Linked DNA regions of Oryctolagus cuniculus. Each later gene encodes a partner of the first gene's protein in a complex. Links are inferred from orthologs where the notes say so. Each region holds a gene or a part of one and is shown on either strand. Other genes may lie near its edges.

Region 1 (9,903 bases):
CGCTCCCGGCTCCTTCCCCTGAGCCTCCCCTCTGCCCAGAACCAAGTCCCGGGAAGGACGCGACCACCTCGGGCCGCCCTGCGCCGCTAGGCCCGCCGCGGTCCATCGCGCCCACCCCGGCAGGCAAAGGGTCCCAGCACCAGCCCGACCCCGACCCCGACCCCGGCCGCCCGGCGCCCTGAGGCACGAAGCCAACATGGCCGCTCCCAGCCCCCTCGGGCCCTCCGGACCTGGCCGCCGTGGTGCCGGGCGGCCCAGGCCGCGGGCGCGCCTCGCCGGGGAGCAGCCGTCGCCGCCCGCGCCTCGGCGCCCCGACCCGCGCGGCCCGGCGAGCCCACGCGGGCCACGCTCGGCGCCGCCCCTCTCCGCCCACCCCGCGGCCCACGCAGGTGCAGCGGCCGCGGCCTGCGCCGCACGCTCGTGCCGACGCCCGGGCCGCCTTAAGGACACACGGCCGGCCCGGGGGTGCTCCCTGGGCAGCGCCCCACCCCCACGCCCAGGCCAAGCCCGCAGGCCGTTCGCAGGGGCCTGGCCTTTGTCTCCGGCTCACCTACGAGCTAGGCGCATCAATGGTTTCCACAAAGTTTGGGGCCTTCGGGCGTCTCCCACCTTCTCCGCGGTGCCTATTTCTATAACCACGCGAGGCCCTACCTGGCTGTGTCACAACTCAGAAATCTCGCCCAGGGAAGACACGCGTGTGCACGCACACGCGCGGCGATCTGAATCACAATGCGTGCTTTTCTCTCCCCTAGGGTTTTCTGAGGGTAGGGAGAGAGGCTAGCTGCCTGCCAGGAGGCGTGGGTTTTCCAAGGCGCTGTCTGCTCCACGCTAAAAGCAGACAGAAATGAAAGGTGACAACTGGGAAGTTCTTGAAAGCTTCCTAATGGAGGACATTTCCTGTCCCCCACCCATCTGGTCAGCTTTAGAAAGGGGCAGCGTGTCCCGAGACAGCAGGCACCCCGGCCTCTCTCCTCCTCATTCAGCTGCTGCTGTGCGCCAGGCAACAGGTTCCTCCCCGAGCCCAGGGCATAGAAAAACACAGGGCTTCTTCACTTCTCGCCACCCCAACTCCTGCTATAAAACTTTCACTGAAGAGGTAGTTGCTTCTTTAATACCTAAAATGTGTGATGCGGGCAGCCCTATGGCCACTTCATCTGGACAGCCAGTGCTTGCCCATTTCCAGAACACGGTGCTGGCCAGAGATTAGCAACCCGCTTAATGACAGTGGCTCAGGCCACTGTCCGAGGGGGCCTTCCTCTGCCCTGGCGTGGAGACCACTTTCCAATATGCAGTTCGGCTGTAACCGGTTACTCTGCCAACCCGGGCTGCCTTCTCACTGTGCCTCCTGGTACTTGGGGCCCTACACCAACACCTCCCTTCCAAGCCCTTCTATTTCACAGAGCAGTTCTACAGGTTCTCACTAAATAACATCCTTCTTCCCCTCTTACTCTTTCCTAGATACACGGTCTCTCTCCATTTTTTATCTTTGGCTATTAACCTTAGCTCTGCTTTTAACACCAACAGCCACTTGGTCAGCAAGCTATCTTGGAGAGTTAAATTCATTGGAGGAAAAAAACAAAAGCCCTGATGTTAACTGATTGGAAATTACTATTTGCAGCCCCAACTGTCATCCCAGCCATTTCCAAACAACTTTTTAACAATTTCTGTCTACTGAAAAAAAATCCTCCTGTCACTACTGTTCACGGACCCAAAGCAGGGTATTTTGTATTTGACACCTGCCTTTACCCCACCCCCACCCCCAGGTATTCCAGGGTTTCTATATAGCAGGGATGTCCCACAAAATATAAAAACACTAACAACCTAAAGCAAATACCCTGCCTTGAGCAGGTCAGGGAACCTAAAGGCTTGGGGGAATGGGAGGAGTTAAGGAACGGCTTGTCCAGCCAGGCTCCCATCAGCGCCGGCCAGAGGCATCAAACCAGGCCGCTGACAATTAGAACCATCTTGCCACGGAACCCCAGACCCCCACGCCATGTAAAACAAGCACAAGTCACTCCCTCATCAGCCCATGGGTAAATCACCAAAACACTTGACCGAATTTTCAGTGACAGAACAAACTCTGCACGTACAAACTGCAGGCTCCCTCCTCAATGGACAGACCTACAGCCCCAGATTCCATCTGATTTCAGATTCTTTAAGTAAGGTGTCTGAACTCAGCACTTGGATTCCTGATAGCCACTTTAATGACCAGCCGAGAACAGGAGGATTGATGAGTGGGTGTCTGGGGGTTCCCAGGAACTTACTACAGATTATTTTAAGGGTCAAGGGCATCACGGGTATCACTCAAAGACAGCGACAGGGCTAACAAGTGGTCACCTCCAGAGACTTGAAGAAGAAACAGCCACTGCTTGGCTTCAAAGGTGAAGCAACATTTTTACAGCCTAAGAGCAAACAGCATGAAAAAACCATGCCTCCCCGAAATCTGGTAAGTAGACATTCTTAGTAGCAAAACTGAATCCTCAAAATAACCATTTTACAACCATTATTGATCCATTTGCTTCAACCCTCCAAATCAGAAAAATCTCTTTAAATTCCTTCAGAAAGCATGTCTTCACCTACTAAATCTTTTTTTAAAATAAAACATGTATTTATTTAGAAGGCACAGGAAGAGAGAGGTCTTCCAGCTGCTGGTTCATTCCCCAATTGCTGCACAGCCATGCCTTAGTCCAGCCCCAGGCCAGCAGCCAGGAACTCCATCTGGGTCTCCCACAGGGGTGGCAAGGACCCAGGTATTTGGGGGTCCTTTATCCACAGCCCCCCGGGAGCAGTAGCAGGAAGCTGGTGCTGAGACTCCATCCCAGGCACCCCAATATGGGATGCTGGTATCCCAAACATTATTTTATCCCACTTCGCTACAACACCAGTCCCATCTACTACCTACTTACCTACCTACCTACCTATCTATCTATCAATCATCTATCCATTCATCCATCCATATATTTTACCACCTAACGAGAGCCATTTATTCCTTATGCAATTTGTAGAGAAAACACTATTAAAAAATATCATCTGTGCAACAGGTGACCAAAAAGGAAAATGGTCCAAGAATTCATTTTGCTAAGAGTTGCCTGGGCAGCTATTAGTATGAAGAACCCGATGACAGCTTTGGGGAGGGGCACAGATTACTGATTAATAGGACAAGCCAACTGAAACCAGATTCGAGGGTCACCAATGAAAGTGATGCAGATTCTTCCAAACTTGAGCAAGAAATGGAGAGAGAGGCAAGCCGCCACGGTCGCAAGTGGACAATAATTAAAAAGAAAAACACAAGCAGCGAAAGCGACAGTCAGGAGGACTTTCAAGGCCACGTCTTTCATTTCGGGGGACACAGCCCCGCGCACACCGAGCCGGCCCGCATTGGGAGGCAGGCACTTGGAGACAGGGAGCCTGCGGAAAAGCGGGCACGTACCTCTTGGCGCTGGTGGAGAGGAGTTTGGAGTTTTTGCTCATGCTGACTTTACTCTCCTTCTTCTTGGGGGTGTTTGTTTCTTTCTCGGTTTGCTGGTTGGAGGACGAAGATGAGGAGGAGCTGGTGCTGGCCCTCGAATCGTCATCCGACATAGCGAACCCCCCACCCACCCCGCGAACAGCCCCTGCAGCGGGGAGGGAGACAGAACAGAAACAGACAAGCCATGCAGGCGGTGTAAACAAGGCGGCCGGTGCCGTCAGGGGCGCCCGGGCCAGGGTGCCCCCCGCCGCCCACCGCCCAACACGCGCTCCCCCGAAGTCCGCAGGCCCAGCGAGGCTGGTGCAAGTCGGACGCGGCTTGCTTGTTTTGGGCCCAGGTGGGGGCCGCGGGAACAGGGGTCTGGGGCCCAGCGAGCTGCCCACCAGGCCAGAAGGGGAAGCCGAGGCGGCCAAGCAGGGCCGGGCCGGGAGGCGAGGTCCGGAGGCGGCCGGCCTCGGGGCTGTTTTTGTCCGCTCTCCGGGGGTCGCGGGGGGTCGGCGGCCCAGGAGGCCGGGGCGGGGGGTGGGGGGAGGCCACGAGCGGAGTTTGGCGAGGTCGGGACGAGAGCAGGGGCGGGAAGGAGTGAGAGAGGAAGCCGAAACGGGGGGCCGGGGGCGGGGAGCGGGTGCCCGGGTGGGGGCAGGGGCGGCGAGGCCCGAGCGCCCCCCCACACACACACACTCCCGCGCCGCGCCCCGACGCCCCTCCCCGCCGGCCTGGCCCTCGGTCGCCCGCCCCCCGGGGCTGCGCAAGCCGGGCCGGGGTCCCGGGCACACGCCCGATCGCCCCCCGCGGAGGGCCAGGGGAGGCTGTGGGGGGGGGGGGCCGGCCTCCGCGGCGAGGGAATAACAATGCGCCCGTCGGCCCGGGAGGGGCTCCTCTCCGCCGGCCCCCGTCCTGGGGGCGGGGGGGGGGGGGACACACAGCGGGGCTCCCCCGACTCCCCCTCCCCCGCTCGCGGCCCCCTCGGCGGCCAGTGGGGGGCTCCCGGGGCCGCGCTGACAGTTCGAGCCACAATGCCCCCCCACCCCCCGCCCCGACGCGAGCGGCCCGCACCCCACGCGGCCCGGAGCCCCTGCCCATCCCCCGCGGGCGGGCCCCGGACCCCTGGGGGCGCCCCCGGCCGCCCCCCTCCCTCCTCCGGCCCCGCGCCCGGCGGCCCGGGCGGCGCGGGCGTCCCCGAGGCCCGGGCGGCGCGGCCGGGGGGCGGCGGACGGCGGGGGGGATCCCCGTACCTCTCTTTGTGTCTGGCTCCTCCGTGCCGCCGCGGCGGCTGCTGCTGCGGCTGCGGCTGGGCCTGGCCACTCGTGTCTCGCTCTCGCTGGGAGAGAAGCGGAAGTGCAGCAACAGCAACTATTAAACAGGCAATGGCTTCCCCCAGCCACACACGCTCGCGCTCCCCACCCCTCCTCCTCCTCGCCTCCTCCTCCTCCTCCTCCTCGCCCCGCCCCCGCCGGCCCGCACCCACCCACCGCGCTTCCCTGCCCCCCCGGCCAGCCCTCCGGGGGGCGCACAGGGGACCCGGGGGACGCCGGCCCCGCGCCTCCGCCGCGCGCCCGGGGAGGGGGCCACGGCTGTGAATTGCAAGTGGCCCGGGGACCCGGGTTCCGGGCGGCAGAGAGGTGGGGGCGCCGGGAGCGACTGGAACTAGACGGCAGAGGGGGTCGCGAGAGCAAGTTCTTCCCGACCAGAGGAGTTGGGGCGGGGTGGGGGGGGCTTGCTGCTGGCCAGGACTTCGGACCAGAGCCGACCCCGGGAAGTCCTCCTAAGTGAGGCGAGAAACCCCAGCACGGGGTTAGCGTGGGGTTGCTTCGCTCCTGGCCGTTTACCTGCCCGGAGCGAGGTCAGCCCGGGCACGCACGCCTGGGAGCAAACCCCAGCCAGGAGGTACCTGCTCCAGGCACGAGGCACGTGCGATTCTACAATGTCAGATTCTGCCAGTCACTTTTTTTTTTGGGGGGGGGGGTGGAAAGTGGTCCGGTTTTATAAAAGGGATACAGAGGATTTCGTGACAAGTGAGCCAACCTGTAACTGGGGAAATCACGCACGAACTGAACTAGACCGCACTGAGAATTGTTGCTGTCCGCGTGCGTTCAGGTATCTAGCCTGACTTAGGGAGAGTGGATGGAAAGTTCTGGGGACCGCTGGACTTGCTTGAGCTACAATATAAATGCTGTTCAAACCCTAGTTTTAGAATAATCACAGGCATCCTTCTAAATTGTTCCTTATTTCGCCTTTTTACCAAAAATCATTTTTTTACTGTCTTAAGCCATCAACGCGATTTGGCGACGTGGGTTTTGTCACTTCAGTTGCAGGGAACTGAAGAACTGTGTGCTGTCCAAACACAACAGTTGCTCGCACACAGGGTCTTGTACGTAGAGAGCCCACTTAGACTTCCGTGGGCCGCTTTAAATTATTCAAATTGCCCTCATTTCCCGTGACAACAGAGGCCTCTGTTACCAGAGGACAACACAAAACCTAAGGCCGGTGACATAGCCAGAAATCAGGAAAACAGGTCTACTCACCACGCAGCTGAACTCCTTTTAGCTTTATCAAGACTCATAAAGTAATTGTGCACGCTTCTTGCTCAATCCTTACCAGGAAGCGACCACAGCAGCAGCTGTTGGAGGTTCCAGCAGCCCAGAGCCAAAGGAACCTCACGGGGCCTTGATCAGGGTTTGGGAAAGATCCCCAGACATAACCTTGCTCAGTCTTTGGTTTCAAGAGCCGGGAAGAGCACATAAAACGCTGGCATTTGAAGACAAAAACAGGTTGTATGCTTTTTGTATTTCTGTTGAAAAAAATGTAGATTCAAAAGAAAACAGTGAGCAAACAGATGAACTCAGGAAAATCAAGGCTGTTATTAAAATCGAGATTTCCTCTTATGAACACTTGGAATTCCGATGCTCAAAAACACGTGTACATTATTAGTGCAATTGGTAAAATAATTAAATGTACAAAGAGGAGGACTGACAGAGATCACAAGAAAATGAAAGGTTTGATTTGCTGAAATGACCAGTGACAGATGAATTTTTTTCCTTAATATTGAGCTGCAGTAATCGTGTAGTTGGCCACTAAGTATAATAATTTTTTTAAAAAAAAACCTGCACATGGCATTTTGTTTTATCATTGATGCTTGGTTGGACTAGTCCCGGGGGAAATCATGGACGCTAAGGACTGCTCAACCCACGCTTTCTCACCCACGGGTCTGTAGACCCCAGCCCACTTTCCTGGACCATTCCCTCAAATACACACTTTTTTAGGTTAGTGCTTTATGGTTTTAGAATGACCTGCCAAGGGGGAATAAAAAAACCTCAAAGTGTTTAGAGAAGAATCCACTGCTCCCCAAAGACAGGTTTGTATCAGATTATTTTAAACATTTGGTTGTCTTGGCGGGGGGGGGGGGGGGGGGGGGGGGGGGGACTGCATTTACCACCTCTGGCTCTTCTACTGACGGACACAAGGCCTAGGGAGCCAGATTTCCTTATCTATAAAGATGCTGACCGGCGACATCAGACATGTATCTACATGAAGCTGTTTTATTCACTGGTACCCAGAGCTGATCACAGAGTCCACCCTGGTCCTACTCCTCAGAAATTCTGTTAGGACATGGAGTCTCTATAACTTAGAGTGGACAACAAGTACAGTATAAGAAACCTAGGGCCAGCGTTGTGGCACAGTTGTTAAGCTGCCATCTATGACGCCAACGTCCCATGGGGTCTCAGCTGCCCTGCTTCTGATCCAGCTCCCTGTGAATGCACCTGGGAGAGCAGTGGAGGGTGGTGCAAGTACTTGGCCCTCTGTACCCCTGTAGGAGACCCGGATGAAGCTCCAGGCTCCTGGCTTTGACCTGGCCCAGCTCCAGCTTTTGTGGCCATTTGGGGAATGAACCAACAGATGGAATCTCCCCCCCCCCCACTCTTGGGTGCTCTTCCTTTCAAATAAATCAAAGAAAGGAAGGGGGGGCAGGAAGGTTGGGGGAGAGACAGAAAGAGAGAGAGAGAGAAAGGGAAAGGGAAAGAAAGAGAAGGAAAGGAAGTGAGCCGTCCAGTGGGGCTGGGGCTGTGGGCCCCCAGAGGTGGGTAGAATGTCCTTCACAAGCAGGTAGCCAGCTGTGGCTACAAAGCCTGTCTCCAGACCTGGCGGCATCTCCCCTACTGTAGCTTCCTGTGCTGCCTGTGTGACCTTGTAGCTTTAAATCACGCCTTCAAGTTGCAATCTTCCACCGTGAACTAGCAGAGGGGCCTGAGCCCCTAAAGAGAGTTGGGCTGTCTCCAAGAGAGCCCCGCTACCTCCATGAGCCTCAAGCCAATCAACATACCGTATGTGACCCTTCCCCAACCCCTGTCCAACGGGCATCCCCAGAGAATGACCCAGTGAAAAGATAGCAATGCCTTAAAAACCCTGGGCACGTCCTCAAAGCCAGTGTCCTGCACGGGCACCCCGCCTGCTCTCCTCTCGGACAAGTTGCTTTTCTGTCGCCTGTCGATCAAATACAAGTTCTTGCTTCTTTGCAAATTGCTTCCCAGCTTTTTCTTTCTATACAGAGCTCAGGAAAAGAACCCACGAAACCCGCTCCTGCATCTGCCCTCCCCTCTGTGACCTGTGATAGGAAGGAAGGGAGGGAGGGAGGGAAGAAGGGAGGGAGGGAGAGAGGGAGGAGGGGAAAACCTTCCCTCCAGGAGAAAGGTAAAGGGGAGGAATCATAAAATCCTATTACTGAAAGGGGCTTCAGATGGGGAAATGAAGGGGAAGAAAGCCAGACATCTTTGGCAGGACTGCTTAGGACGCCACACTGTCCGTACATGATCTTGTCAATTCTGGCAGTACGATGTAGGGGAAGAGACTTCATTACATCAGAGAAAAATATACTCAATCTAAAAATCTCTGATAGGGCAGGCCTTGTGGCACAGCGAGTAAAGCCACTGCTTGCAATGCAAGCAGCCAAATCAGAGCGATGGTTCGAGTCCTAGTTGCTCCCCTTCCAATCCAGATCCCTGCTGATGCACCTGGGAAGTCAAGGCATGATGGCCCAAGTGCTGGGGCCCTTGCCACCCAGGTGGGAGACCAGCATTGAATTCCTGTCTCCTGATTGCAGCTTAGTCCAGCCTTGGCCATTGGGGCCATTTAGGGGGTGAATCAGAAGATAGAAAAATCTCTGTCTTTTCCTCTACCTCTGTCACTCTACCTTTCAAAAAAATTTATATATATACATATATATACGTATATATATATAATGTATGTATGTGTGTATAAAGAACTCTGACAGTATTTTCAGAAATATATTAACCATCATAAATTGGAATCATAGTTGGAAAAGTAGAAAAATGGAAGCAAGCTCATTTAACTTAAACAAATGATTCCTGGGGCCAGCATTGTAGTACAGCAAGTTAAGCTACCACCTGTGACACCAGCAGTGCTGGTTTGAGTCCCAGCTGCTCCACCTCTGATCTAGCTCCCTACTGATGTGCCTGGGAAAGCAGTGGACAATGGCCCAAGTGCTTGGGCCCCTGCACCCACCTGGGAGACCCAGATGAAGCTGCTGGCTCCTGGCTTCGGCCTGGGCCGGGCCTTGTGACCATGTAGGGAGTGAACCACTGGATGGAAGCTCTCTCTCTTTCTGTCTCTTCCTCTAACTCTGCCTTTCAAATAAAGAAATTTTTTAACAAAACAAATGACCCCTCTTGAAGTTCCCTGCTCCTGGCCCTGAGAATAATCCTCATTATTTATGTGTTTTACCTTTACAGATCTATTTTAAACAGGTAATCCATTTTTGTGTTATATTAGTCTAAAGAAAGCAGAAAACCAGGGGGTGTGTCAGGGAAATACGCTCCTGCCCCACCCTCGGTGTCCCTGAGAGGGAGGGAGGCCGTGACCCGTGCCAGCAAACGCACACACGCGTGTTACATGCCTTGATAGAAAAACGCCCCTTACACGCGTCTAGCCACGGAGGCCCAGGCCGTGTGGCTCAGCGACAGCCCGCGAGGCTTGAGAAAGTGTGCCCCAGCTTCCCAGCACCTGTTCCTGGTTCTCAGAATGATCCGACTCTCCTCTCAAGGCATCTGTAGTGCATCAAGTGCTCCGAAGTAGAAGCTCTTGAAGATCGGGGTGCTGGATTCCGGAGGAAGAGACCAGGTCTAACTTCCGACTTTGTCAGTTACACCGAAATGCCAGTACGGCCAAAGGAAACCAGTTTCACACTGAAGAACTGTCAAGCAAATTAACATTCGTTAAGACGGCTTTTGGAAAACTTAACCTTATGGCTGAATAGGAAGGAACTCCCTTTTCTCTCCATAGAAGGAAAAAAAAAATCTTGTGTTTGGAATTTTAGATGAATTTCTATAAAGCCTTTCGCGTGGTGGAGGGGGAAGGGCTCACGGGGAGTTTCAGCCCTTTGTTTCATTTAATAATGCTCCTTTTAAAATGCTCCTTTA
Region 2 (10,021 bases), on another chromosome or scaffold:
AAGTCCAGGGCATGTTTTTCTACCTTTGCCACCCTCTCAGAGGCATATATGATCATATTGCCCCCTCTTTTATTTATTTTATTTTTTAACTTTTATTTAATGAATATAAATTTCCAAAGTACAGCTTATGGATTACAATGGCTTCCCCCCCATAATGTCCCTCCCACCCGCAACCCTCCCCTTTCCCACTCCCTCTCCCCTTCCATTCACATCAAGATTCATTTTCGATTCTCTTTATATACAGAAGATCAGTTTAGCATACATTAAGTGAAGATTTCAACAGTTTGCTTCCACACAGAAACATAAAGTGAAAAATACTGTTTGAGTGCTAGTTATAGCATTAAATCTCAATGTACAGCACACTGAGGACAAAGATCCTACATGAGGAGTAAGTGCACAGTGACTCCTGTTGTTGACTTAACAAATTGACACTCTTGTTTATGGCCTCAGTAATCACCCTAGGCTCTTGTCATGAGCTGCCAAGGCTATGGAAGCCCCCTGAGTTCACTGACTCTGATAATTTTTAGACAAGGCCATGGTCAAAGTGGAAGTTCTCTCCTCCCTTCAGAGAAAGGTACCTCCTTCTTTGATGGCCCATTCTTTCCACTGGGATCTCACTTGCGGAGATCTTTCATTTAGGTTTTTTTTTTTTTTTCCCCAGAGTGTCTTGGCTTTCCATGCCTGAAATACTCTCATGGGCTTTTTAGCCGGATCCGCATGCCTTAAGGGCTGATTCTGAGGCCAGAGTGCTGTTTAGGACATGTGCCATTCTATGGGTCTGCTGTGTATCTCACTTCCCATGTTGGATCATTCTCTCCCTTTTTGATTCTATCAGCTAGTATTTGCAGACACTATTCTTGTTTCTGTGATCCCTTTGGTTCTTAGTCCTATCATTATGATCAATTGTGAACAGAAATTGATCACTGGGACTAGTGAGATGGCATTGGTACATGCCACCTTGATGGGATTGAATTGGAATCCCCTGGTATGTTTCTAACTCTACCGTTTGAGGTAAATCAGCTTGAATATTGCCCCCTCTTTTAATAAATAAAACCCCTCTTACCTTGCCAGGACAACTGTCACTTCCTAAGAAAAAAGACAGAGAGTAAGTTCACTGCCAAGACCTCAGTCCCATGGGTGATGTGATAGCAGCCTGTGTCTGGGGTTCTGCTCTGCCTCACTGCCCTGGGCTGAGGCTCCGAAGAGGATTCTGACTAGCTTGAAGCATCAAGGACATGTGATGCTTCTGGGGTAACCAGAAACACTGCAGGGGTGTTAAAGACGACTGACTCAGAAACCAGAATAGAAAGACCATATTCTTAGGGGGAGGGCAAAGCGGGGAGGCAGCTGCAAGTGGGCAGATAGCCCATGCAGTCTCAGGGAGAGAATGGCTGGGATAAGAGGCCCAGAAACCATCCTAGTTCCCTGTGGGCTTGAGCTGTTTGGGAGGGAGGGCTGGTTGGTTAATGCTGTGCTGGCTACCTATTCCTGTGTATGAAATTGAATTACTCTAGAATGTTGTGTTGCAGGGGTTGTGGGAGCCCTTACATGGGAACTGACTGTCTTAAGGCCCACTCAAGAGTGTACTTGAAGCCTACTTGAAAGTCGGGTGAAAGAGAGCCTGTCAAGTCAAGTCAGAACAATCAGCCTTTTCACACTAGAAGGGAATGGTAAGAACGTTAGAGCAGAAAGGACTTCTGGGACCATTTAATCCGCAGTTTCCCAAAGTGAGGCAAATGTATTGGGTCCAGGAAAGGAAAATGACCTAACCTAGAGTAATGGAGACTTGGCAGCTAGTCTCAATGTTCCATTCATTGTTTTCAGTTCTATCACATTTATTAAAACCTTCCCATGGGTAGACACTTATATAAGAGCTTTAGTGGATTTCATCATTTTTTAAAAGATTTATTTGAAAGACAGAATTGCAGAGAGAGGGAAGAGGAGAGAGATCTTCCATCTGCTGATTCATTTCCCAAATGGCTTGTGTCATGCCAAAGTTAGAAGCTTAGAAGTCCAGGTCTCCCATGGATTTGGGTAGTTTCCCACTGCTTTCCCAGGCACATCAGCAGGGAGCTGGATCTGGAGTAGAGTAGCCAGGATTAGAACCGGTGCCCATATGGGATGCCAGTATCAGAGAGGGTTGCTTAACCTGCTGTGCCACAATGCCAGTTCCAAATATCCATTTAAAATATGAGAAACCCAGTGCTCAGAAAGATGAAAGAACTTTCTTAGGGTTTCATAGTTGGTACGTGTTAGAATGAACACTGACCTGGGATGTCCACATCTGTTAATTGCCGGATGGACCATTCCCTCCTAATTCTGGGCTCTTCTATAGATTGAATGCAAACCATGTATGGGTCCAAATTCCAGTTTGTTTTAAATGAGAATATTACGGACACCAGGTTTGCCTTTGGGTTAATGGTAGCTACAGAGTTCTAGCTTTTTTCGCTTATTCTCTGGGCCCAACTCCCAGTCTCACCTGCAGCAGCTCCAGCGGCGAGCCCCGCCTCCTCCGCTCTAGTTCTGAGATCAGCTCCTGTAGGGCCTGGCTCTGCTGGGCCAGGTCAGCCTCTGTTTCCCCTAGGATTCTCAGTTGCTCCCTCTCTTCTGCCTCCAGTGCCTGCAGCTGCCTCTGTTCCTCTTCAGCCAGGAAGTTTTTCTGCTGCACAAACTCTGCATGAATCCTGGACTTGTGCATCTCAACCTTTGTCTTTGGTGTCCAGGGAAAGATAGAGGAGGTTTCTGTGAAAATCTCCCAGGCTTTGGGGGTAGAAGTTGAAACCTATTTCTGTCACCTGGAGACTCAAGTGAATAGGCAGACACACACACACACACACACACACCCTTTGCTGAGGAGATAGGTGGGTGAGGCTTTGGGGACTAAACAGAGTATGATTGGTGCTGGCATGTTGTCGCTGGCCTACACCCCAGCTGCATCAACCTTTAGTATCAGAGATGTTCTTCAACCTCTATTCCAAAAGGCAGTTATCACCCAGATCTGTGTTTGAATATCAGTCATATCTGATATTCAACCATTCCCAGAGGTTTCACAGAGATGGGCTCACAGTGCTATTCCCAAGTCCTGGCAGAGGGTGACTTTGGGACACTCTCTGCTCACCTTCTCCTGCTGGTAACTGGATGGTCAGCTCATGATGTAGGATGGCCCCCTGTGCCACCAAATCCTGACTTACCCTTCCCCACTCCCAGACCTCTCTTCCGGGAGCCCGTTAGCCTCGAGTTCCTTTCACTCTTCACACCTCCCCTGTACTAGCAAGTCACCAGTGGTGAACAAGCTTTACTTCTGCATTATGCTTTCAACCAGTGGCCTCGGCACAGTGATGCCACCACCTGTTCAGATTGGTTTTTCCATCTCAGGCCTGGATGGATCCTGGAGGTCTGCTCCTTGTAGCTCCTCTCATCTCCTTAAAGGCATAGCAGTGGGGCTTCTCTCTTGGAATACCCCTGCTCCAGACACTGAGGTTCTGATGCTGTCATACATACCCTGAGTCTGGGCTCAGAGGAGCAGGGAGCCCTAGGATGTAGCTTGGCCCTCGCAGAACAGTTGTTCAATAATTCTCTTTGTTCCTGATTGGGAGTTCTCCTGTGAGCCTCTCCTTTTTTTTTTTTTTTTCTTCTCTATTTGGAGACTAAGAGGATGGCTGGTTCCCAGAGGGTGTGATATGGCAATTATCATTCTCAGACATAGCTCAGGTTAAGGCTTTCTTGATACTAGGACCCTGGACTTTGCCCAGCCTTCTGACCCCCCCCCACCCCATCAAGAAGTGTCTCTTGCCTTGCACTCTGCTCTCTTCATTGCAACATCTATTTCCAACTTCTCTGCCAACTCCTGCTGGCATCTTAGCTTTTTTAATGCCACCTGGAGCTTTTCCTGCCAAAAACAAAGTAACAGGTTAATCCCAACGAAACCAAGAAGTAGGGTGGAGTGGCTTGGGGTGGGAGATGATCATTCTGGTTCTTCAATAAAGCCTAAACACAGAGAAGGAGGGAGGACTGGGGTCTGATTAGGGTAGGCATTTGGTGGATAGGCAGACTGTGGAAAAAGCCCAAATCATGCGTCTTACAAAAAAGAACTACTGGCCGGCGCCGCGGCTCACTAGGCTAATCCTCCGCCTAGCGGCGCCGGCACACCGGGTTCTAGTCCCGGTCGGGGCGCCGGATTCTGTCCTGGTTGCCCCTCTTCCAGGCCAGCTCTCTGCTGTGGCCAGGGAGTGCAGTGGAGGATGGCCCAGGTGCTTGGGCCCTGTACCCCATAGGAGACCAGGAAAAGCACCTGGCTCCTGGCTCCTGCCATCGGATCAGCGCGGTGCGCCGGCCGCAGCGCGCCGGCCGTGGCGGCCATTGGAGGGTGAAACAACGGCAAAGGAAGACCTTTCTCTCTGTCTCTCTCTCTCACTGTCCACTCTGCCTGTCAAAAAATAAAAAAAAAAAAAGAACTACTGGCATGGCAGGATGAGGGCATTTCTCACACCTAATTTATCAGGAGTCCACAAGGAAACATGGACTTCATAGCATTTGCACAGAGTGTATCCACTACTCTAATGAGAAGGTTGTGTTTAGACTGGACATGAAAGGAGGAAAGTATCCCTCTTTTCCCAACCTCTGAACTCCAGAGGTAACAAAACTCACCCAGCCCCTCTCCTTTGGATCTGTCCATGTCTCTGCGAAGGCCTCACCTGGTACTCTTGAGCAGCCGCGTCAATAGGGACTGTGTGGTGCTCACGGTGTTTCTGGTATTGGGCACACACCCAGCAGAGGATTTGCCCATCTTCCTCACAGAACAGGTGAAGTTTCTCTCCATGTATCATACACCGCTGCCCTTGTGGCTCATCCTTGGCAGCCTGGCTGTTTTGTTTAAGGTTGTCCACCACGTTGGCTAGATGCCGATTGGGCCGGAGGTTCCTGAGCAGAAAGTGATTCCGGCACACAGGACAGATACCACCCCCATCTTTCCCAACATTAGAGATACATTCCTGGCAGAAGCTGTGACCGCATTCAATGATCACGGGCTCCACCATGGGATCTAGGCAGATGGCACATGTGACCTCCTCCCACATCATTGCCAGGGGCGTTGCAGAAGCCATGGGAGTGACAGTCCTTGTTGGGCAGCACTGTGCAGACCTTGGGGTGCTCTGGTGGGGGAAGAAGGAACAGAAAAGAAGAGATCTGCATGACAGGAACACAATAATGCAAAGGAAAACAAGATGAGCTGGTGGTGCCAAGCAAGAGAAGACAAGAACATCAACCCAAACAGCAGGAGCCTCTCCTCCACAGTCTGGCCCAGTGATCCTGTTGGAAGAAGGGAGACAGAGTCCTCCAACGAGGAGAAAACGGGGGAGAGACTCAGATAAGTCTGCTGACAATTCTACTTCATCATGTCCATCTGGGTTACATCCTCAGAGCCTAGGTTGGAGGAGGTAATCATAGTATGAGCAGTCATTTACCAGGTGCTTTCTATGTGTCAGAGAGGAGCTATGTGCTTTGTATAATATCTTCACTACTGTTCAATATAATGGCAAGAGTCTCTCTCTGTTCTACTCCCATATATATGAAATACATAAAAATTCATGGGGGGGGTGGCACTGTAGCATAGTGGGTAAAGCCGCTGCCTGCAATCCATATAGGTGCTAGTTCCACTTCCGATCCAGCTCTCTGCTATGGCCTGGGAAAGCAGATGGCCCAAGTCATTGGGCCCCTGCACCCATATGGGAGACCTGGAAGAAACAGTAGGCTCCTGGCTTCTGATAAGCTCAGCTCCACCACTGCAGCCTTTGGGGAGTGAACCAACAGATGGAAGAGCATGCGGTCTTTCTCTCTGCCTCTGCAACTGTGCCTTTCAAATAAAATAAAATCTTAAAAAATTCATAAGGGGTCTTCAAAAAGTTCACAGAAAATGTATACTACGAATGGGTGCATGGATTTCCAATTTTTTGCACCAAAAGTAAATTCCATTTCCATTAACTTTGAAATATTCTGCTACAGATGTGAATATGTCTGTGCACTTCCTCTAGGGCAAAGAATCTTGAACCTAAATAAGTTTCTAATTGAACACCCTAAACAGCCTGCCCTTTCCCTTTCTAGCAGGAGATTGGGGACCAGTTTAGTAGAGTGAGGATTCTTCCACAGGGGGCTCCTCTGGGCACCCACCAGCTCCCTTACACCCAGGGTCACCTTTTCCCTTGGCCCAGTTCAGGTACCTGCACTACAGCAGCCTGAGCTCCACCCATCCCTGTGGTTTGTAAGTCACACTCAGCCCAGCCTCCTCTCAGGCAGACCGGCCAGTGCTGGAAGAATGGCTGGGCTTGGGTTGAACGAGTCGGGGCCAGTGGGGTTGAAGGCTCTAGGGTTAGTGAGTAGCTGGAAGAGAGAATCAGAGGCAGGGGAGAGAGACCCTCCCCCACCCAGGCAAGAAGGGGTACTGTGGTCCTGCCGGGTTCACTCACCTGATCAGGCGATTCAACAGCTCTCTATTTCACTTTCAATTTCCTCTAAGAGGCCAGTCTGAACGGAAAAGGGAGGAGAGTGGGAGGAGAAAGGGGAGGGGCCCCAGGGAGGAGGATGAGGGAGGGGTGGTGGGAGGGACAGGGCAGAGACTGGGCGGGGTCAGGGCGGAGGCAGGGGATGACCGGGTGTAGGGGAGAAGGAGCAGGGCAGAGAAAGAAAAGTGGGAGGAGGGAAGACAGAGCCAAGCCGGGGGAGTTGTCACAGCCCAGTTAAACCTCAGCAACATGTCATCTGGGCGTACACTCCTCCTCCTGTCCTTGTCATCTATCTTAGTGAAAAAAATCGATGCTTTGACACCGGCCATCACCTCGTACCTGAATGCTATGTGCACCTCTGGGAGCTGCTATTCAGGAGGTTTGGATGCAAAGGATGCCTGGCTCTCTCCTTCACAGGCCTCCACCACCTGCTTCCTGACAGCCGAAACAGTTGCTTCCCATCGGACTCATGTTTCTGGTGACCTCCAGGGGTGGGAGATTTATTCCTCAGGACTCTGAGGCGGATATCACATGGGGCAGTGGTAGGAAGGGAGCTGACATTTTATTGAGCACCAGCTGGGTTCTTGTCATTGAGCTAAGGATATTTTCAGGTTATATCATTTTTATTTTTGATATTTAAGATAAAACAAATTTCATGTAACTCATCTACAGATTTAGGAACCTAGTGATACTTCTCATCCTTCTCTCCCTCCTTCCTCTTATTCCCTCAATTTTTAGGATGATCTTTCAGTTTACTGTATAACTCATGAGATTAACTCTTTAGTGTAGGGTTAAATAGAAAAAAAACCACTATTCTACAGTATGTTATTTTAATATGAGACATTTACCACCTTAACCATTTTCAGTTTGCCATTGAATGTCAATGAGTGCATTCACCTTGTTGTGGCACCATCACCACCATCTGCTCCAGAACATTTTCATCATCCCAGGCTGAAATTCTGTACCCAGACAATAACTTACTATTTCCTTTCTCTCAGGCCCTGGCAATCACCATCTGCTTTCTGTCTCTATGAATTTGACTACTCTAGGTGCCTCATATAAGTGGAATCAGCTTTAGAATATGTACCTTCACAGCTGGCTTATTTCATTAATATAACGTCCTCAAGGTTCATCCATGTTGTATCACATGTCAGGATTTCCTTCCTTTTTAAGACTGAACATCCCATTGTATGTACATTTTATTTATCCATTTGTCTGATGTTGGATACTTGGGTTCCTCCTACCTTTTGACTATTGAGAATAATGTTGCTATGTTAGGTTATATTATGTAAGTCACATAATAATTTGGCAGATTAAGGGTTATTATGGTTTATGTGAGGGGAGGGGTGCTGAGGCTGAATGGATGAAGCAGCTTGCTTGAGGTGACGTTGAAAACATTGATACATGTTTGTGGAAGGTGCAGGAAGACCCTCATTCTAGGGGCAGTATAGAGCTAACAGATTGTTGCATTGGTTCAAGCAGAAGCTGCGAACAGCTAATAGGGGCATGGTCAGAAACTGCAAAAGAGAAAAAAGGAAGAGTGATAAGGCCAGGAAAGTTCCCAATCCTAACTCAGAATTTTTGGTCCCTTATAACTTAAAATAAAAATATCAGTTGAACTTTCCTTAGTATTTATTATGGACTTAGGAAACCTAAAAAACTTCATACTTTGAAATTTTCAGTGGTTTTTCAGAACTTATATTCAGTGAAAGGCTATCAAGTGACATTTAATGGTCAGACGGTGCCACTGTACTCAGATTTGACTAAACAGTCCCAGAAAACAGAATGGAAACAGTTTAAAAAATCTAAAGCAAGAAGAGGGGCCAGGACTGTGCTGTAGTAGGCTAAGCCTCTGCCTGAGGTGATGGCATCCCATACGGGTACTGGTTCGTGCCCCAACTACTCTTCTTCTGATCCAGCTCTCTGCTATGGTCTGGGAAATCAGAAGAAGATGGCCCAAGTCTGTGGGCCCCTGCACCCACATGGGAGACCTGGAAGAAGCTCCTGGCTTCAGATTGCACAGTTCCAGCTAGCCATTTTGGGAGTGAACCAGCAGATGGAAGACCTTTCTGTCTGTCCTTCCCTCCTTCCCTCCCTCTCTCTAACTCTACCTCTCAAAATCTTTTTTAAAAATCAAGCAAGAAGAGACCTGTATCAGAGCTTTTAGACTCTCAGAAAATAACTCTGGGTGATAGGCATTATAGCATAGTGGGTTAAGTCACTTCTTTGGATGCTCACATCCTTCAGAGTGCCTGGTTCGAGTCCCACTACTAATCAGCACTTCTGATCCACTTTCTTGCTAATGTGGTACTGGATGAAAGCCCAAATAGTCAGATTTCTATCACCCATGTGGGAGACCCAATGGAGTTCTTGGCTCTTGGCCTCGCTTTGGCTAGCTATCATGGGCATTTGGGCAATGAAACAGGGGACAGAAGTTCTTTGTCACTATGCCTTTAATTTTTTTATTTTTTAATTTTATTTAATGAATATAAATTTCCAAAGTACAGCTTATGGATTACAATGTCTCCCCCCCCACCATAACTTCCCTCCCACCCGCAACCCTCCCCTTTCCCGCTCCCTCTCCCCTTCCATTCACATCAAGATTCATTTTCAATTCTCTTTATATACAGAAGATCAGTTTAGCATATATTAAGTAAAGATTTCAACAGTTTGCACCCACATAGAAACGCAAAGTGAAAAATACTGTTTGAATACTAGTTATAGCATTAATTCACAATGTACAGCACATTAAGGACAAAGATCCTACATGGGGAGTAAGTGCACAGTGACTGCTGTTGTTGACTTAACAAATTGACACTCTTGTTTATGGCATCAGTAATCACCCTAAGCTCTTGTGATGAGTTGCCAAGGCTATGGAAGCCTTTTGAGTTCACTGACTCTGATCATATTTAGACAAGATTGTAGTCAAAGTGGAAGTTCTCTCCTCCCTTCAGAGAAAAGTACCTCCTCCTTTGATGACCTGTTCTTTCCACTGGGATCTCACTCAGAGATCTTTCATTTAGGTCATTTTTTTTCCCCAGAGTGTCTTGGCTTTCCATGCCTGAAATACTCTCATGGGCTTTTCAGCCAGATCTGAATGCCTTAAGGGCTGATTCTGAGGCCAGAGTGTCACTATGCCTTTCAAATACATAAATCTTAAGGATTGCTAAAAACCCTGTATTGTTTCCTGCAGGCATTGAGTAGCTACTGACAGGAGGGGTAGTAAAGACATAGGTTTCATAATAAGGCAGGTGTACCATCATTGCTGACACTGCTACTTACCAGCTATTTGCCTATCCATTTTCCTTATCAGAGATTTTAATGCATACTCTACAAGGTTATTTTAGTGTATGGCTAATAATGTGCACATAGATCATTAACACAACATATGCATAACTGTTACAGAAAATTACCAAGGTAGGAACTGTAAGACCAAATTTGCCACTTATAGCCTTCACTGACAGTACTTTTGTATTTCTTTTTTTTTTTTTTTTTTTTTTGACAGGCAGAGTGGACAGTGAGAG
Region 3 (9,284 bases), on another chromosome or scaffold:
TGGAAATATGTAATCACCAGTAGGCTTTTAATAAAACTTGTGTTTTCTTTTTTAAAGATTTACTTATTTAGTTGTTTGAAAGATAGCTACAGAGAGAAAACAAAAGGGGAAGGATCTTTCATCTGTTGATTTACTCCCCCAATGGCCTGGGTTGGGCCAAGCTATCACCAGAAGCCAGCAACTCCATCCTGGCCTCCCATGTTGGTGGCAAGGGCCCAGACACTTAGGATATCTGCCAGTGCCTTCCTAGATGTGTTAGCAGGGGGCTGGATCACCAACAGAGCAGCTGGGACTCTTAACTGGTGCTCTGATAGTGGATGCCAGTGTCACAGGTGGTGGCTTAACCCACAGCATCACAATTTCAGCCTGTTTGTTAAACTTCTTGCTATCATTGCTGTAATAGAAAGAAAATACTGTAGTCTCTTTCCTTGAATCCTAGGAGCTATTAAGGACTTTGGTAGAAGACTGACTTCTTCTTCCATAATTCACGGGCAAATACATTTTAGGAAAAGGTGTACTGTTGAAAGAGAGAGAGATAGCTATCAGTCAGTGACAAGTAACCAATTTTCATTATTCAGGTTTGTTACGGCAAGGCAAGATCTGACTTTCTTGTGTCATCATTAGTGTTAAGGGCACAGCTACTTAAAAGATGAAAGAAATGGCTTCGCGAGCTGGAGGGGTATTTATACAGTACGAACACCCTGGTTGCCTTCTTACCTCATCTTTTGCATCTCATTTGCAGGTCACCTTTAGGTTCATCAGCCTCTGCCCCAGCACCCCCGGCTCCTCCAGCACCCCCAGCACCCCCAGCACCCCCAGCCTTCCATGGTATGCTGGAGCGGGCCCCTGCAGAGCCCTCCTACCGTGCCCCCATGGAGAAGCTTTTCTACTTACCTCACGTCTGCAGCTATACTTGTCTGTCTCGGATCAGACCTATGAGGAATGAGCAGTACCGGGGCAAGAACCCTCTGCTGGTCCCACTACTGTACGACTTCCGGCGAATGACAGCCCGGCGCCGGGTTAATCGCAAAATGGGCTTTCATGTTATCTATAAGACACCCTGCGGCCTCTGCCTTCGGACAATGCAGGAGATTGAACGCTACCTTTTTGAGACTGGCTGTGACTTCCTCTTTCTGGAGATGTTCTGTTTAGATCCATATGTTCTTGTGGACCGGAAGTTTCAGCCCTATAAACCTTTTTACTATATCTTGGACATCACCTACGGGAAGGAAGATGTTCCCCTATCCTGTGTCAATGAGATTGACACAACTCCTCCACCACAGGTGGCCTACAGCAAGGAACGGATCCCTGGCAAGGGTGTTTTCATTAACACGGGCCCTGAGTTTCTGGTCGGCTGCGACTGCAAGGATGGGTGTCGGGACAAGTGAGTTGGTGGAGGAATTGCTGCTCCTGCCACAGTTTCTTGTGGTTGCCTTTCTTTTCACTTCTTTTGCTTTCTGTCGGTATTGCTTTCTCCACCTCCCTTCACCTCCTTCCTCAGCAGGAACTCCAGCCTTAAGGCCACCATGAAAGCTGTGAGGTAGGGAGACTGAAGTCCAACAGGCCCCAGTGAGTAACCCCGGGTACCTGTGCTTTATGTTGTTTCTGATTTATTTATTTATTTAAAAGGAAGGGTGACAGAGGAGAGAACTTCCATCTAGTTAACTCCCAAAATGGCTGCAGTAGCTGGGGCTCGACCAGGTAACAGCCAGGAGCCAGGAACTCCATCTTGGTGTACTATCAGGGAGCTGGACTGGAAATGGAGCAGCTCTGAAATGGAATGCTGGCGGCAGCTTGACTCTCTGTGCCATCCTGCTGGTCCCTGTTTGCTTCTCTGATTCTCCCCCTTTTCCTGTTTCTCTCCATCATACTTCCAGTTGCCACTTTGTTTCGTTCTGTCTCTGTTTTATTCTCACTCTGCCTGTTTGTTTCATTCTATCTCCTTGTCTTTCTCTGTTGGTACTCTGAGAAAAAAAGAAATTTATTACTACATCTCCATCCTTTTATTATTTCTCAACACTGTAGTTGTCATATCCTTCTTACACAGGTCTAAGTGTGTCTGCCATCAGCTAACTATCCAGGCTACTGCTTGTACCCCAGGGGGTCAGATCAACCCTAACTCTGGCTACCAGTACAAGAGACTAGAAGAGTGTCTGCCCACAGGGTAAGTGTCAGGGGATTGGCTACCTCAGAGATTGAAGAGCATTTTCTTATTTTTCTGTGCTTAAAGGAACCATCAGAAATATAAAAATTGGAACAAAAAATAGAATACAGAAACAGATATTTTATTAATTTTAAATTTATATAGCATGTTTTTTCTTTTGGCTTTCTTTGAAATGAGAATATAGAATGATTGAGTAGTATCTAGTAATTTCTTGTTGTGGGAAATGATCTTAATTTCATAGCTGTATGAATGCATTAACCAAGTGTGATTTACTATAGCAAGTGAAATGTGTTCAAAGAAGTAAGCAGGGATTTGATTATATAGGGCTTTGTAAGCTAGAATAAAAAATTAGAATCAAGTTTATGGTACAGTAAGAAGGATTTTGGAGGATTTTAAGCAGGCAAGTGATGTGATCTGCCTTTTCAGGGTGACTCTGGCTCCTTTGCAGAGCATATTTCTTAGGGCAACAAAAGCAGGATTTGCAAGACAGGTTAGGGGATGATTACAGGAATATAGGCAAGGGAAAGGTAGTAGTGAGTGGAGTTTATACTAGAATGAAGGTGGCAGTGGAGATGAAAGATTTGGGATGCCTTAGGAGGTGAGCTACAGAACTTGGTAGATGGACTGGCATAGGAGGGAAGGAATGGAATCAAGGACAATTTCTAAATTTGCTTGAACAACTAAGTAGATGTTGTCACCTTTTACTGAAGGATGGGTGTCAGGACAAATGAGTTGAAATTTGAGTGAAATTCAGCTTTTGTTTTGGTCATCTTAAATTTTAGAAACTTCTTGGGGAATCTAAGTGGAAATGTCAAGAGGCAATGGAATTTTCTGGAAAGAGGTATGGGAGCTGGACAAAAAGGTTTAGTGATTATCAGCACAAATGTAATATTTAAAGCTTGCACGTGTTCCCCTGGAGAGAATGTTGACAATAGAGAAGGAGGCCCAGGAATAAGCCCTGGGTGCTCCAACATTGGGTGGGTGAGCAGAGGAGGTGAGGCAGCATGAGAGACAGAGAAGGACAGGTCAGAGAAAGGACAGACAACAGAAGAGAAGGAGGTGTCGTGGTAAGTTGGTGTATATGAACATGTGACTAACAGATCCAGTGTGCAGATATATAATTAACAGAAGAGGAGAAAAGCATTGATTAAATAGTTTAGAAATTTGGTCATAATTGAAAAGTGTGTAATTCCCAATTTAAAGGGCCAATGAGGTCTTAGCATAATAAGTGTAAATAAATTCCACTGAGATAGGAAAAAAATGAGAACACTGAGGATAAAGAACAAATCCTAAAAGCCTCTAGAAGAGTGAAATAGACCACATTAAAAAATAGATTTGGGGGCCAGCGCTGTGGTGTAGCGGGTAAAGCCGCTGCTTGCATTGCCAACATCCCATATGGGCGCTGGTTCAGATCCTGGCTGCTACACTTCTGATCCGGCTCTCTGCTATGGCCTGCAAAAGCAGTGGAACACGGCCCAAGGTCTCGGGCCCTGCACCTGCGTGGGAGACCTGGAAGAAGCTACTGACTCCTGGCTTTGGATTGGTCCAGCTCCAGCTATTGTGGCTATTTGGGGAGTGAACCAGTGAATAGAAGACCTCTCTGCCTCTGCCTCTGCCTCTCTGTAACTTTGTCTTTCAAATAAATAAATAAATCTTAAAAAAGTTTGAAATTCTAGCCTTTCCAAAATAACACAGGAAGCTAGAGGGCAATTAATTATTCAAAATTCCAAAGGAAAATTATTTCCAACATAGAATTCTAAACTCAATTGTTAAAATAGGCTAAGGATATTTTTTAGATGCACTGTAAAGTTGTTCATTATTTTTCTTTTCAAAAAGTACTAACAAAAGGAAGGGAAGAAAAAGTTACTGGCCATATTTACCAAAATGAGGAGAAAAACCCAAGAAGAGGGAGGTATACAGTTCAGGGGACACAGAGTACAACTCAAAAGAGGAGCATAGGAAATCCCCCCAGATGATAGTGGGGGGAAGGAGGACATCCAGCTGACAGCCTATAGCCAGTGCCAGTGCAGGAGAGCAGGGATCTCAGAGGAGATTGAGACTACTGCGGAGACGGGGTGAATTTGTGTGAAATATATAGACAGCTAAGCAAGGGAAAGACAGTTACTAATTTTAGATTACTGGTTTTTTTTTTTTTTTTTTTAATGGATTGATTTGAAAGAGTTACAGAGAAGCAAAGGCAGAGAGAGAGAGAGCTTCTATCCACTGGTTGGATGGAAGATCCAAAGAAGATCCCCAAATGGCCGCAACAGCCAGAGCTGCACCTCTCCAAAGTCAGGAGCTGCTTCAGGTCTCCCACGTGGGTAGCACTTGGGCTGTCTTCTGCTGTCGAGGGCCATAGCAGAGAGCTGGATCAGAAGTGGAGTAGCCGGGTTTTGAACCAACACCCATAAGGGATGCCAGCGCTGCAGGCAGCAGCCCCTTTATATTTTAATTTTAAATTCTGTATCTTACAATAATGCTTAGATTTCATAATGCTGGTAATTACATGGTGTTCATTACATCTTTTTTACATGTTTAATGCATAAAATTTTTTAATAACCACAATGTTACTCCCCTGCTTAAAAACTCTTAAATAGCTTCCCACTGCATTTGGAATTTTATTCTCTTAACCGTGGGTTATAAAATCCTGTACTACCTCCCCTCCCCCATCCTCACTCCTTCCAGAGTTGCTCCAGCTACGCTGATGTTCTTCAAGGTTCCTGGATTCAGTTCACCCCATGTGTCCCGCCTGCCTCTGGGGCCTTTGTACATGCTGTGCCCTCTTCTTGGCATCCTTCCACTGTTCTTTAACCTTGAGCTCTCAGTTTTAAACTCACCTCCTCAGAAACATCTTCCCTGGTCACTCTAAATCTAAGTTTCACCCCCTTAATTCTCTCACTGAACTTCATGTGTGTGTTCTTTATAGCATTTATGACAATTTCATTTGTTGACTGGATTTTCTCTTTTCCATTAGAAGGCAGAGGCTCTGTCTTGTTCACCATTGTATCACAGGAGCTAGCTTACCCAGTGTCTGGCACATGGTAATGGTTCCACAAAAGGAATGAAAGATACTTAGCATTACTACTCTGAAGAGTTATTGGTAGTAATTAGGGCTGGCGCCGTGGCTCAATAGGCTAATCTTCTGCCTTGCGGCACCAGCACACCGAGTTCTAGTCCCAGTCGGGGCGCCAGATTCTGTCCTGGTTGCCCCTCTTCCAGGCCAGCTCTCTGCTATGGCCCGGGAAGGCAGTGGAGGATGGCCCAAGTGCTTGGGCCCTGCACCCACATGGGAGACCAGGAGAAACACCTGGCTCCTGCCTTCAGATCAGCACGGTGCGCCAGCCGCAGTGGCCATTGGAGGGTGACCCAACGGTAAAGGAAGACCTTTCTCTCTGTCACTCTCTCACTGTCCACTCTGCCTGTCAAAAAAAAAAAAAAAAAAAAAAAGTAATTAGACCTGAGTTCAGGTTCTGGTCTTCCACTTTGGAGCTAATCCTGTTATCAGCTATAAATAGGAGATATTAATACTGACACCCACACTCTATCCCCAAAGGGTTTTAAATGACCTAACAGACTCTTTCTTTATCTGGTGCTGGTTAACACAGTATGTTTAGTCTGAAAATCCATTGACTATGAACTTTTCTGTATATTTTTCTTATGTATATTATACTTTGAAAATCTTCTTTAAAAACTTTTAAAAAATACCATTATAGCACTGCTTTGAAGATAGATAGAATAAGAGAGTGTAAATTATGCAATTTACATAGCAACAAAACAAAGTGTATGTTCAGTAAGTAGAACTGCTCTTACTGTCTTTATCCAGAAGGATGTGACTAATGTCATTAGCCAAGAAATTGTTTTATTATCCTCTTCCCAAAAGTAAATGTCTCCCTGCAATTTATACCAAGAAGTATAATCCTAACAGTGAGCAAAGCAAATCAAGCAGAAGCATTGGTACCCGTAACATTTCCAGTCTTATCAGCATAGCTGTTTTCTTCCTTTAATGTTCATATTTGCTAGATCCCTCTGATTAACTTTAATAGTTTGTTTTAAAAGTAATTAAGTTGTTAAATTCTTCAACTGATTAATTCCTTTAAGGTAGAGATTATGACCTCTTTGATTATTCCCAGTGTCTAGCACAACTATTATTATTTAATAAGTGTTTACTGAATGATATGATGAAAACCAACTTTACCAAAGAAAAGTCCCCATAAACATCCATACCACCTTCTCTTTTCTCTTTAGACATTATATGTGTGTGTGTATAATATATATATATTGATATATATATATATATATAAAATCAGTATATCAGCCTCTGCTTTTCTTACGTATCTTTATGCATCTTTTTTCTGAAAATTGACGGACTCTATATACTTATTTTAGTGGCTCTGTAATCTGTATTCACGTCATGGTTTTCTTAGCCTCTTTCCAGGTGTTAGGAATTCTGGCATTCACTATTAGAACACTGCTATAAACATCGTTAATTCCCTTCTAAGTTATTTCTGTGAGCTATATTCCCAAATAAATGAAACAGCATAGACAGTTCAGTAAATCCACTCAGATCATTACCTAATTTTTAATCTTTACCCAGGACACATTGTAAGTAATGATAGCTTAAGAATTATAACTGTTTTGTGCGTTTCTATTGCTCATCTCATGGTTGATCTTTCTAATCTCCCAGGGTATATGAGTGTAACAAACGCTGCAAATGTGACCCAAACATGTGCACAAACCGGTTGGTGCAGCATGGACTACAGGTTCGCCTACAGCTATTCAAGACACAGAACAAGGGCTGGGGTATCCGCTGCTTGGATGACATTGCCAAAGGCTCTTTTGTTTGTATTTATGCAGGTTGGTGATGGATATAAAGGTTGTTTCCTGGGTCTGGGATGTGGTGGGGAAATGAACCAGATGCAAGTTGAGCTTACGAATAATGTGCTGGACATGTGAACTGAGAGAGAGAGGAGCCAGGGCTCGCTTCTGTAGAGAACCTGTGGAGGTTCACAGAGAGGGACACAGGGCTTTGGAAAGACAGAAATAAAAAAGGGGTAATGTTTTAGACGTGATGATGTTCCAGGGGAGAGACATGATTGCAGAGTCCAATGTATTGTCCTCCCACGTTTCTCCACCCAAAGATTTTTTTTTTTAGCATGGCTGAGAACTGTTGTTAAAGAGGAGGAAATGGGCCGGCGCCGCGGCTCACTAGGCTAATCCTCCGCCTAGCAGCGCTGGCACACCGGGTTCTAGTCCCGGTCGGGGCGCCGGATTCTGTCCCGGTTGCCCCTCTTCCAGGCCAGCTTTCTGCTGTGGCCAGGGAGTGCAGTGGAGGATGGCCCAGGTGCTTGGGCCCTGCACCCCATGGGAGACCAGGAGAAGCTCCTGGCTCCTGCCATCGGATCAGCGCGGTGCGCCGGCCGCAGCATGCCAGCCGCGGCGGCCATTGGAGGGTGAACCAACGGCAAAGGAAGACCTTTCTCTCTGTCTCTCTCTCACTGTCCACTCTGCCTGTCAAAAAATAAAAATAAAAAAAAGAAGAGGAGGAAATGGGAGGACAGAGAGGACAAGATTAAAGCTACAGTAAAGGAGGTATCATCGAAGAGAGACACAAGAGACCAAAATGTAGGCATTTTACCTCTGTGCTGGAGCACTGGGTGTGGGTGGATGGACACTTAATCTTTCCAAAAGGGCCCCATAACCCTAGAAAGCCTTTAATTCTCTTCCTCAGGCAAGATCCTGACAGATGACTTTGCAGACAAGGAAGGCTTGGAAATGGGTGATGAATACTTTGCAAATCTGGACCATATCGAGAGCGTGGAGAACTTCAAGGAAGGATATGAGAGTGATGCCCCCTGTTCCTCTGACAGCAGTGGTGTAGACTTAAAGGACCAGGAAGATGGTAACAGTGGTACAGAGGATGCTGAGGAGTCCAATGATGATAGCTCAGATGACAACTTCTGTAAGGATGAGGACTTCAGCACCAGCTCAGTGTGGCGCAGCTATGCTACCCGGAGGCAGACCCGAGGCCAGAAGGAAAATGGACTGTCTGAGATGGCTGCCAAAGACTCCCGTCCCCCAGACCTTGGGCCACCACATATGCCTGTCCCTCCCTCAGTCCCTGTAGGTGTCTGCAACCCACCTTCCTCCGAGGAGACACCCAAGAACAAGGTGGCCTCGTGGCTGAGCTGCAATAGTATCAGTGACGGTGCTTTTGACTCTGATAGCCGCTCCTCCTTCAAGACTGGTGAAGGTAGCGCTGGGGGAGGCCGAGGGGAAGCTGAGAAAGCCACCGCCTCGGCACTGGGCATCAAGGACGAGGGGGACGTCAAGCAGACCAAGAAGGAGGTAAGCAGTAGCTGTTAGTGTTGATGTTAGTAACCTAACTTACTTGACGGGTATTTCTTTGGAAACCTATTTCCCCCTTTACTCAGCACATTTCTAGAATGTGTTTAAAGAGGCCGGCGGTGCCAGCACTCCGGGTTCTGGTCCCGGTTGCTCCTTCCAGTCCAGCTCTCTGCTGTGGCCCGGGAGTGCAGTGGAGGATGAACCAGGTGCTTGGGCCCTGCACCCGTGTGGGAGACCAGGAGGAAGCACCTGACTCCTGGCTTCCGGTCGGTGCAGCACACCAGCCGTGGCAGCCATTTGGGGGGTGAACCAAAGGAAAAGGAAGACCTTTCTCTGTCTCTCTCTCTCTCACTGTCTAACTCTGCCTGTCCAAAAAAAAAAAAAAAAAAAAAAAAAAAAGTTTAAAGAACCAAATTCTTTTAGGATTTACTTGGTTGGGGATCAGAGGATATATGATTCATTCCAAAATAAAGGATTTCTCTAAGTGATTTTTTTTTTAATTAAATGGCATTTCAAGTTATATATGTCATTGCTTCCTTCTGCTACAGAAACCAAAACTGATTTTAGGGGCCAGCATTGTGGCGCAGCAGGTTAAGTCACCACTTACAACACCAGCATACCACTTCAGAGTGCTGGTTCTAGTTCCAGATTCTCTGCTTCTGATCCAGCTCCCTGCGAATGTGTGTGAGAAAGCGGATAATGGCCCAAGTATTTGGGCCCCTGCCACCCATATGGGAGTTATCCAGTGAATGGAGGCTCTCTCTCTCTCACCCTC

What was found.
Region 2: the proteins of UBE2E1 (region 1) and TRIM21 are in contact, whole or in part, in a crystal structure (PDB 6FGA), measured with the Homo sapiens proteins. The link is inferred for Oryctolagus cuniculus from reciprocal best matches to the Homo sapiens genes UBE2E1 and TRIM21. Residues at the interface, in NP_003332.1 of Homo sapiens: Lys43, Lys50, Arg51, Lys54, Pro107, Phe108, Asn138, Trp139, Ser140, Pro141, Ala142, Thr144; in NP_003132.2 of Homo sapiens: Pro17, Ile18, Cys19, Leu20, Asp21, Glu38, Cys39, Gln42, Val43, Pro52, Arg55.
Region 3: the proteins of UBE2E1 (region 1) and SETDB1 are in contact, whole or in part, in a crystal structure (PDB 8IYA), measured with the Homo sapiens proteins. The link is inferred for Oryctolagus cuniculus from reciprocal best matches to the Homo sapiens genes UBE2E1 and SETDB1. Residues at the interface, in NP_003332.1 of Homo sapiens: Asn125, Ser126, Gln127, Val129, Cys131, Leu132, Lys136, Asp163, Pro164, Leu165, Val166, Gly167, Ser168; in NP_001138887.1 of Homo sapiens: Glu868, Gly869, Tyr870, Glu871, Ser872.

Annotation. Positions count from the first base shown.
Region 1 is NC_091435.1:159,708,927-159,718,829, reverse strand, and holds the start of UBE2E1 (ubiquitin-conjugating enzyme E2 E1), read right to left. Parts: upstream 4,526-9,903; intron 4,279-4,525; coding exon of another isoform or gene 3,853-4,278; intron 3,767-3,852; coding exon of another isoform or gene 3,687-3,766; intron 3,615-3,686; 5' UTR 3,583-3,614; coding exon 3,431-3,582; intron 1-3,430. Other genes in the region: basic salivary proline-rich protein 2-like, read right to left, coding at 3,687-3,766, 3,853-4,278, 4,526-5,116. UniProt on the Homo sapiens protein: Accepts ubiquitin from the E1 complex and catalyzes its covalent attachment to other proteins. Catalyzes the covalent attachment of ISG15 to other proteins. Mediates the selective degradation of short-lived and abnormal proteins.
Region 2 is NC_091432.1:62,637,325-62,647,345, reverse strand, and holds the start of TRIM21 (E3 ubiquitin-protein ligase TRIM21), read right to left. Parts: upstream 6,621-10,021; 5' UTR 6,462-6,620; intron 5,151-6,461; 5' UTR 5,103-5,150; coding exon 4,695-5,102; intron 3,890-4,694; coding exon 3,794-3,889; intron 2,711-3,793; coding exon 2,480-2,710; intron 1,087-2,479; coding exon 1,064-1,086; intron 1-1,063. UniProt on the Homo sapiens protein: E3 ubiquitin-protein ligase whose activity is dependent on E2 enzymes, UBE2D1, UBE2D2, UBE2E1 and UBE2E2.
Region 3 is NC_091438.1:47,127,298-47,136,581, reverse strand, and holds part of SETDB1 (histone-lysine N-methyltransferase SETDB1), read left to right. Parts: intron 1-742; coding exon 743-1,384; intron 1,385-2,047; coding exon 2,048-2,164; intron 2,165-6,848; coding exon 6,849-7,018; intron 7,019-7,892; coding exon 7,893-8,509; intron 8,510-9,284. UniProt on the Homo sapiens protein: Histone methyltransferase that specifically trimethylates 'Lys-9' of histone H3. H3 'Lys-9' trimethylation represents a specific tag for epigenetic transcriptional repression by recruiting HP1 (CBX1, CBX3 and/or CBX5) proteins to methylated histones.